2 linked regions of the Mus musculus genome follow. The protein of the gene in region 2 binds, or shares a complex with, the protein of the main gene of each other region. Links are inferred from orthologs where the notes say so. Each region holds a gene or a part of one and is shown on either strand. Other genes may lie near its edges. The genes, in order: Acbd3 and Pi4kb.

The links.
Region 1: the proteins of Pi4kb (region 2) and Acbd3 are in contact, whole or in part, in an NMR structure (PDB 2N73), measured with the Homo sapiens proteins. The link is inferred for Mus musculus from reciprocal best matches to the Homo sapiens genes PI4KB and ACBD3. Residues at the interface, in NP_001317650.1 of Homo sapiens: Val37, Gly38, Val42, Ile43, Asp44, Pro45, Val47, Ala48, Gln49, Lys50, Ala51, Cys52, Glu54, Val55, Leu56, Val59, Lys60, His63; in NP_073572.2 of Homo sapiens: Gln245, Ile246, Ala249, Leu250, Gln253, Thr254, Gln257, Phe258, Tyr261, Gln265, Tyr266, Leu276, Leu280, Gln283, His284, Gln287, Tyr288, Gln291, Leu292, Val295.

Annotation. Positions count from the first base shown.
Region 1 is NC_000067.6:180,732,266-180,736,081, forward strand, and holds part of Acbd3 (Golgi resident protein GCP60), read left to right. Parts: intron 1-900; coding exon 901-1,042; intron 1,043-2,111; coding exon 2,112-2,252; intron 2,253-3,816. UniProt on the Homo sapiens protein: Involved in the maintenance of Golgi structure by interacting with giantin, affecting protein transport between the endoplasmic reticulum and Golgi. Involved in hormone-induced steroid biosynthesis in testicular Leydig cells.
Region 2 is NC_000069.6:94,994,988-94,998,803, reverse strand, and holds part of Pi4kb (phosphatidylinositol 4-kinase beta), read right to left. Parts: exon of another isoform or gene 2,970-3,816; coding exon 2,860-2,969; exon of another isoform or gene 2,693-2,859; intron 2,225-2,692; coding exon 2,120-2,224; intron 1,986-2,119; exon of another isoform or gene 1,953-1,985; coding exon 1,829-1,952; intron 1-1,828. UniProt on the Homo sapiens protein: Phosphorylates phosphatidylinositol (PI) in the first committed step in the production of the second messenger inositol-1,4,5,-trisphosphate (PIP). May regulate Golgi disintegration/reorganization during mitosis, possibly via its phosphorylation.

The sequences.
Region 1 (3,816 bases), on a different chromosome or scaffold from region 2:
TACTTTAAATATAGCCTTTCAAAGTATATATGTATAATTTAATGCATGCTCCTACTCAAAGTGATTAAAATTGTTTTTAAAGGATCATTTTTAGCTGTATATAGTGGCAGAGGCAGGCAAATCTCTTAGCTTTTCTGCATAGTGAGTTTCAGGCCACCGAGTGCAACATGGTGAGATCTTGTCCTACCATGACAAACATAATGACATGACAACAATAATAAAAATAAACACTTTAAAATATGTTTTTTAAAATTTATGTCTAATGGTCAAACAATACTGTTTATGTACCTGTCTACAGTTTGTCAGATGTATTTCTCTATGTTAACTTTAACATAAATAATGATAGTTGTTCAAAAGATAATTCAAGATGGGTATGGTGATATCTGCCTGCAATCCCAGTATTTAGGGCTGAATCAGGAGAACTGAATGTGAGGGCTACCTGGGCTGCCTAAGAATCTAGAGCCCACCCTGGGCTATATTATATTAGTAAGACCTGACTTAAAGAAAAGCAGTAAAGAGTGAGAGGAAGAAGAGAAATCTTCTATAAAGGATTTGTATTTTAAGCCCCATTAAAATGTAGTAAATCCACTAACAGTCTTTTTTTTTTTTCTTTTTCTTTTTCAGGGGAGGGGGGGTTGAGACTGGATTTCTCTGTGTAGCCCTGGCTGTCCTGAACTCACTCTGTAGACCAGGCTGGCCTCAAACTCAGAAATCCGCCTGCCTCTGCCTCCCCAGTACTGGGACTAAAGGCGTGCCCCACCACGCCTGGCTTCCACTAACAGTCTTAACCTGCTGTTTTTATGTTACTGGCATACTCTATGTAAAGCTTCAGTGCATTTCTGATGCTGGAAACTATATCTGCCAACACCAATTGTTTCCTTTAATTTTCATTTCTTTTAGTAAAAGATGGCAAAGCCTTTCATCCAACTTATGAAGAAAAACTGAAGTTCGTGGCACTGCATAAGCAAGTTCTTTTGGGCCCATATAACCCAGACACGTCCCCTGAGGTTGGATTCTTTGATGTGTTGGGGAATGATAGGAGGTAACAGTGTTTTCTTATTTGGGTACTTAATGACGTTAGAAAGAAGTAGAATGTCTATTTCTGAAGGTGTAAGTAGTTAATTTCTTAACTTAGCATAACAACTGAAACATTGATTTTGCTCATAGTTATAAATCCTGTTGTGGAAGAGGTTTACTTATCTAGCATAAGACAAGGACAATTTCACCTGACTCTTTCTAAATAATATTAAAAGCAGCCATTTATTTTTTTATATTTTTAAAAGATTAATGTATATGAGTACACACTGTAGCTGTACAGATGGTTGTGAGCCTTCATCTGGTTATTGGGAATTGAATTTAGGACCTCTGCTCGAGCTGGCCCAAAGATTTATTTATTATTATAAATGAGTACACCGTTGCTGTCTTCAGACACACCAGGAAAGGGTGTCAGATCTCATTACAGGTGGTTGTGAACCACCATGCGGTTGCTGGAATTTGAACTCAGGACCTTTGGAAGAGCAGTCAGTGCTCTTACCCACTGAGCCATCTCACCAGCCCCAATAGCAGCCATTTAAAATATGTGCTGCGGGGCCTGGAGAGATGCCTCAGCTGTTAAGAGCACCAGCTGTTCTTCCACGGGACCTGGGTTTGATTCTCAACAACCCCAACCATCTATAATTCCAGTCTCAGAGTAACTAATACCCTCTTATGTTCTCCAAGGGCACAGATAAACATGGAGGCAAAACACTCATGGACATAAAACCAAATAAAAAAATAAAATGCATACTATTGATTCCCTTATTGAGACATACAGAATTTTGCCAGAAAATGGAATATTTTTTTCCGTTCAGGTTAAAAATGTAAAGAAAGTAAAATATAGATTGCTTTTTAACAAGTGTGAATAAACAAAGTACACTTATATTTTGGATTGTTTATGGCATCTTATTTAATATATTAATGAAGGTTTGTTGAAACTTGAAATCTTGAACTTTTTGCTTCTAGTAAAAACAGTTCATTTTAATTGTAATTGAGGTTTTCATGTGTAGATTTAATTAAACAAGGTTCTCCTGCTGCTGCACGGAGAAGGTAACTGTTCTTTTTATTCTTTGCAGGAGAGAATGGGCAGCTCTGGGAAACATGTCCAAGGAGGATGCCATGGTAGAGTTTGTGAAGCTTCTAAATAAGTGTTGTCCTCTCCTCTCGGCATATGTTGCGTCCCACAGAATAGAGAAGGAAGAAGAAGAGAAAAGAAGGTGATGTCACAGGGCATGGTGGCACATAGTGCGGGCACTAAGCACTGATGCTTTGCTTTCTGGAGTGTGTGTTCTGGGTTAGAGAGCCTCCTTCTCCTGTTCTTCACTTCCAATTCTTACGGCAGTTTTTCAGAACTATCCATGTGAGTGGGTGGAGGAGGATGGGCTGCCTCCTCCTGCTTACCTGTAAAGTGACCCTGTGTCCCATCTGGAGCAGTATTCCTCCACCCTCCACCCCTGAGACAGAGTCTTGCTACTGTAGCCCGGGTTGGCCTCCTGAATGAATGCTGGGATTAAGCATCTGTACTCCCATGCCTGGCTACTTTAGTCCTACTATAATAAGACTCAACTGTACGTTCACCCACTCCTTCCCTCCTGCTCTGTGGTGTTGACTGTGGAGCCTAGATGGCGTATTAATTAGTTATCTACTCCAGGTTTGGAGTAGATGATACTGCTGAGCTCACTGTTAGTGTTTCTGAGGTTCTCCCAGCACCCATGTGGTGGCTCACAGGCTCCTGTCATTCCAGTCCAGAGGATCCAACACTCTTTCTTCTAGCTTCCAGGAGTGCCAGGAATGCAAATGGTTCACACACATATATACAGGCAAAACACCCATATACATAAAATAAAAGTTCAATTAGACAAAGAATAGCCTAAGCATGAGGGAATTATAGAAGCACTTCTCTGGATGGCGCAAGCCCTGTAATCCTGGTATTTGGAAAGCAGAGCCAGAAGATTGCTCAAAATTCAAGACCAGCCTGCTCTTCATAGCAAGTTCCAGGCTAACCAGACCTGCACAGTCTAAAACAAACAAACCCAATGACATAAATTACATTTCATTGATAAGTAATATGTTTTATATCCCAATGAAAATACTTTTTGGTTTGGTTTGGTTTGGTTTTTTGAGACAGGGTTTCTCTGTGTAGCCCTGGCTGTCCTGGAACTCACTTTGTAGACCAGGCTGGTCTTGAACTCAGAAATCTGCTTGCCTCTGCCTCCCGAGTGCTGGGACTAAAGGCGTGCGCCACCACCGCCCATGAAAATACTTTTAATTGTATTTATTTTCCTTACATGAGTGTTTTGCTTACATGTATGTCTTTGTATGTTGTGTGTACATTGTTTTCAGAAGCCAGACAGGGTTGGTTTACCTGGGACTGGAGTTGCGGACGGTTGTGAGCCACTGTACCGTGCGGAGAATCAAACTTGGGTTCTGGAAGAGCAGCCTGTGCTCTTAACCACTGAGCCATCTCTCAAACCCCCAATTCGAGTCTTTTTAAGAAAAAAATGTATTCCTAGGTTTAAGTATGTGTATGTTTGTATGTGTGTGGGGGGTGGCGTGTGTACACGTGAGTCAAGGTGTCCTCAGAAGACAGAAAAGGGTATCAGGGCCTCTGGAGACTGAATTCTGCTCTCAGAAGGTCAGTACGTGCTCTTACTGCAGAGCTCTCTCCCACCCTCCCTGCCCTATCCTTTTTTCTTACTATTTTTTGTCTGGTTAGTTTTTTTGGTTTTGGTTTTGTTTTCCCCATTATTTATTCACTTTACATCCTACCATACTTCCATC
Region 2 (3,816 bases):
AAACTAGAGAATAAAATTTTCTTCTCAACCTCTCTCCCTTAGTGTCGTGGATTGAAGGACATTAAATAAGACTTACTGACCTATTAAGAACCTGGAAGTTTTCTGTTTGAGACAGACTCATGTAGGCTAACCTTGAATTCCGGAGCCCTGTCTCCACATGTTCTAGGATTGTAGGTGTACACAACCACAAATAAAAGAACGAGGAAGTTTAAAAGGAATTTCAGGGCCTGGCAAAGGGCAGGAACTACACAGAGGTAGGAAAAAGGTAGAGAGGAAATTTATCACCTAAGTAGGGAGAGTAGGGACTATTAATATAAGTTTGAATAATAAAAAGATGGGATTTTAGGGGCAGAGAAAGCTACTTTAGAAAATGAAAATACTATTGGATGTGGTGGCATAAGCCTATATTCCCAGCAGCTGGAAGGCAGAGGCAGAAGGATCACAAGTTTGAGGTCAACCTTGATTACAGTAGAGTCAGAAGTCAGCCTGAGTTACATGAGACCCTGTCTTAAAAACAAAACAAGGGCTAGAGAGATGGCTCAGAGGCTAAGAGTACTGACTGCTCTTCCAAAGGTCCAATTCCCAGCAACCACATGGTGGCTCACAACCATCTGTAATAGGATCTGATGCCCTCTTCTTGTCTGTCTGAAAGACAGTGACAGTGTACACATATATATAAATCAATATTTAAAACAAACAAAACCAAAATGAAAGTACTGCTTATAATCCTAGTATTTGGGAAGCTGAGGCAGCAGTAATGAACACAAGAATAGTAGTGACACTGGCTGAGGGTGGAGAGGGTACAAGCAAGTTCCATTTGGCTACAAGTGAGATCCTTTCTAAAAACAATCAAAACCAAAATCAAGAGAAAGTTAGTTCAAGCTACCTCTATCCCTCAAAAAACCTACAAATATTATAGAGAATTGGATTGAATAGGTGAAGCCTCTTTGAGGTCACCAACCCAGGTGATCAATGTCTCAACATAGTATAGCCAGGTACATTGATGCACATCTGTAATTCTAGTATTCACACTGATGCATGAATTCATTATCATGAATTCAAGGCCAGCCTAGACTGCTTAATGAGTTCCAGGTAAACCTGAACTATAGTGACCCTGTCCCAAAGCAAGGGCTGGAGAAATGGCTCAGGGGCTAAGAGTAACTCCTGCTCTTGATGGGAATTTGGGTTCAGTTCCTAGCACCTATCAGGCTTCTTACAACTAACTCCAGTTCCAGGAGGATCTGATACTCTGTTCTGCCCTCCATGGACACTGTACACATTTGCTGTGCAGACAAGCATGCTAGGAAACCATCCATACACATAAATGAAAGTAAATGTTTTTCAAAATACAAAACTAAACCAAAATACTTGAGCACAGTGTAAATCCATCCATCCCAGATCATTTGGGAGGTTCTGATTTAAAGGAAAAATCCAAAGTGCGGCGGTGCATGGTACATGCACATCATCCTAGCCTTGGGAGGTGAAGGCAGGGCGATCAAGGGTACAAGCCCATCTTTGACCATAACTGATTCAAGGCCAGCCTGAATTACAAAATCCTAACTGAAATCACACCCATCAAAAAATGACATCCAGTGATGAGAACAGGGCAGATGCAGTTCCAGAAACAACCAACAGAGGTCCCCATAGAGCTGTTCTTCTCTGGAGAAAGGCAAACCAGTTTCATTTTCATCTTCCCATTCAGACCTGGGTAGGAAGCAGGTGCCCAGCAGAGCTCCCTGGAGTTGCACTGAGCCTTTCCTTTCAACACCCCTTTCTCTGTGTGTTTCGTTTTTTTTTTCTTTGCTGCTCTGTGCTTCCATTTCTTTACCTGCAGTTGTTTCAACACCTGGAAAGCCAGCAGCTCCTGGCGAAGGTCATCTCCACACTTGACAATGACTGAAAGGAGTCGCCAATTGGGAAGATGGCCATACGGGGAACCTTCTCTGATCCTCCTGTGAAGAAAAAAGTCACAGGATGATGCCAGGGTAAGGACTCAGACCACAGAGGAAGCCTGATGAGTGTTTAGATGTAGAAGGGCAATGGAAGAGGTGAGCACCTGAAGATACCTTGGAATATGAGGGAGGTACTGAGACCACTGTCTACCCTCTACCCTCCTCACCGCACTTTCTCCTGCCAGGGCTCTTTGAGGGCAACTGCAGAAGGGTCTTCAGGGTCTCGTTTGAAGGCTGTAGGAGTATGAGCCAGCTGTTCTGAAAGGCGCCGTCTAGCAGGAAGAAAATACACAATTTACTTGGAAGAGTTATCTCAGAGCTGCATGCATGCTTTGCCCACTTTCCCTTGCCACAGTTCCTAGATTCCTGGCAGATTCTTGGCTGGGAAAGCCAGAGAAGCAAGGATAATCAATGGTACAGTTTTGCTAACTTGGTAGTTTGTGATCATGTTAAAATGCAGAGAGCCTTGTATTCTTCATTCCTCTATTCCAATATTGATTCAGAATGGGTATGACTCCAGAATCTGCATGTATAACAAGATTTCCTCTCTGCCTTCAAAGGAAGGATTCCACTTGGGGGTCTCACTTTGATGACTGGTTTTGCTTTTCTTTTTTGTGATGCCGAGAACTGAACCCATGGTCTTTCACATGCTAGTCAAGTGCAACTTGGACAAACTCAAATGCCCTTTGGGGCATTTTCTTCTTTTTGGAACTCTCTTAAAATGTCATTTCTTTTTGTAGTAGCTCAAGCAATGTCTCAGCTGCACCTTCAGGGCCTCAAGTACTGAGCAAGGACAGAATAAGGAGATAAAGGAGAGGGACATAAAGCTGACAGCTGGTAACCAGACACAGGACAAAGAGGCAGAACGAAGAAGATGGAGATGAAGGACGAGGTGATTGGGCCATACCGGATGTCCCCTGCTGCAATGAACACAGGCTCCTTGCTCTCCTGGCTGGTGATGCTGTCCACCGAGAACTGGGAGATGTTGTCACAGCTGTTGGTGTGCACTTCAGGGAGCTGGGAAGAGCAGGTCAGAAATGCTAAACACAGATCTCCCTCTTGATCTCTGCTCACTTGCCACTAACTAACTACCTATGGCATGGTGGCCTACCACTCCACTCCAGCCTTCTCCCAAAGCCACCATGGTTCCATATCACTGAGGCCTTGAGCCATAGATCCCACAGCAGTGTTCTCAAAGTGTGAACTCATAGAATTCATGGAAAAGCATAGGAAGTGCAGATTCTCAGTTCTGACCATCAGCCCAAATTAGAACTACTGGGAATGAAATCTAGAAGCTGCATTTTTGTGAACTTTCTAGAATATTCCCAACACTCTCTAAGAATGGTCTCAAACTCCTCCTTTCCCAGCCTCCATGTCAGTGCAGGGACTACAGGTGGATCACCATACCCAGACAATTTCTTCTGGCTAAATCTCCACCTAATCTCCTCACTCTTATCTATAAAATATTCTGCCAGGCCCCAAGAAGTCTCTGTCCTTCCTTTTACAAAGTACTCTCAATTATACCTGCCATCTAATACACAGTAACTCGTGTATCTTCATTTTTCTTCTTCCAGCCCCACAGTGCGGCTTGAGTTTATTTTCATAGCTAACAGGGCTGAGTGAGTGCACTGCTTGTCGGGGCCATGCCAGCCTCTCTAGCCTCACTCACTCATCACCTCACACTACGCATCAGCACATATTAGTTTTTTTTCATTCCTATCATGGCCATGTTGCATTTTCTCTTCCTCAGTCTGAATGGTCTGAATGTTCTTTGTTCTGCTAATTAAACCATGCTTCCAGCCTCAGCAGAAATATCACTTCCTCCAGGAAATCTTTTGATTCTGATGCTGAGTGTGGAGTAAGC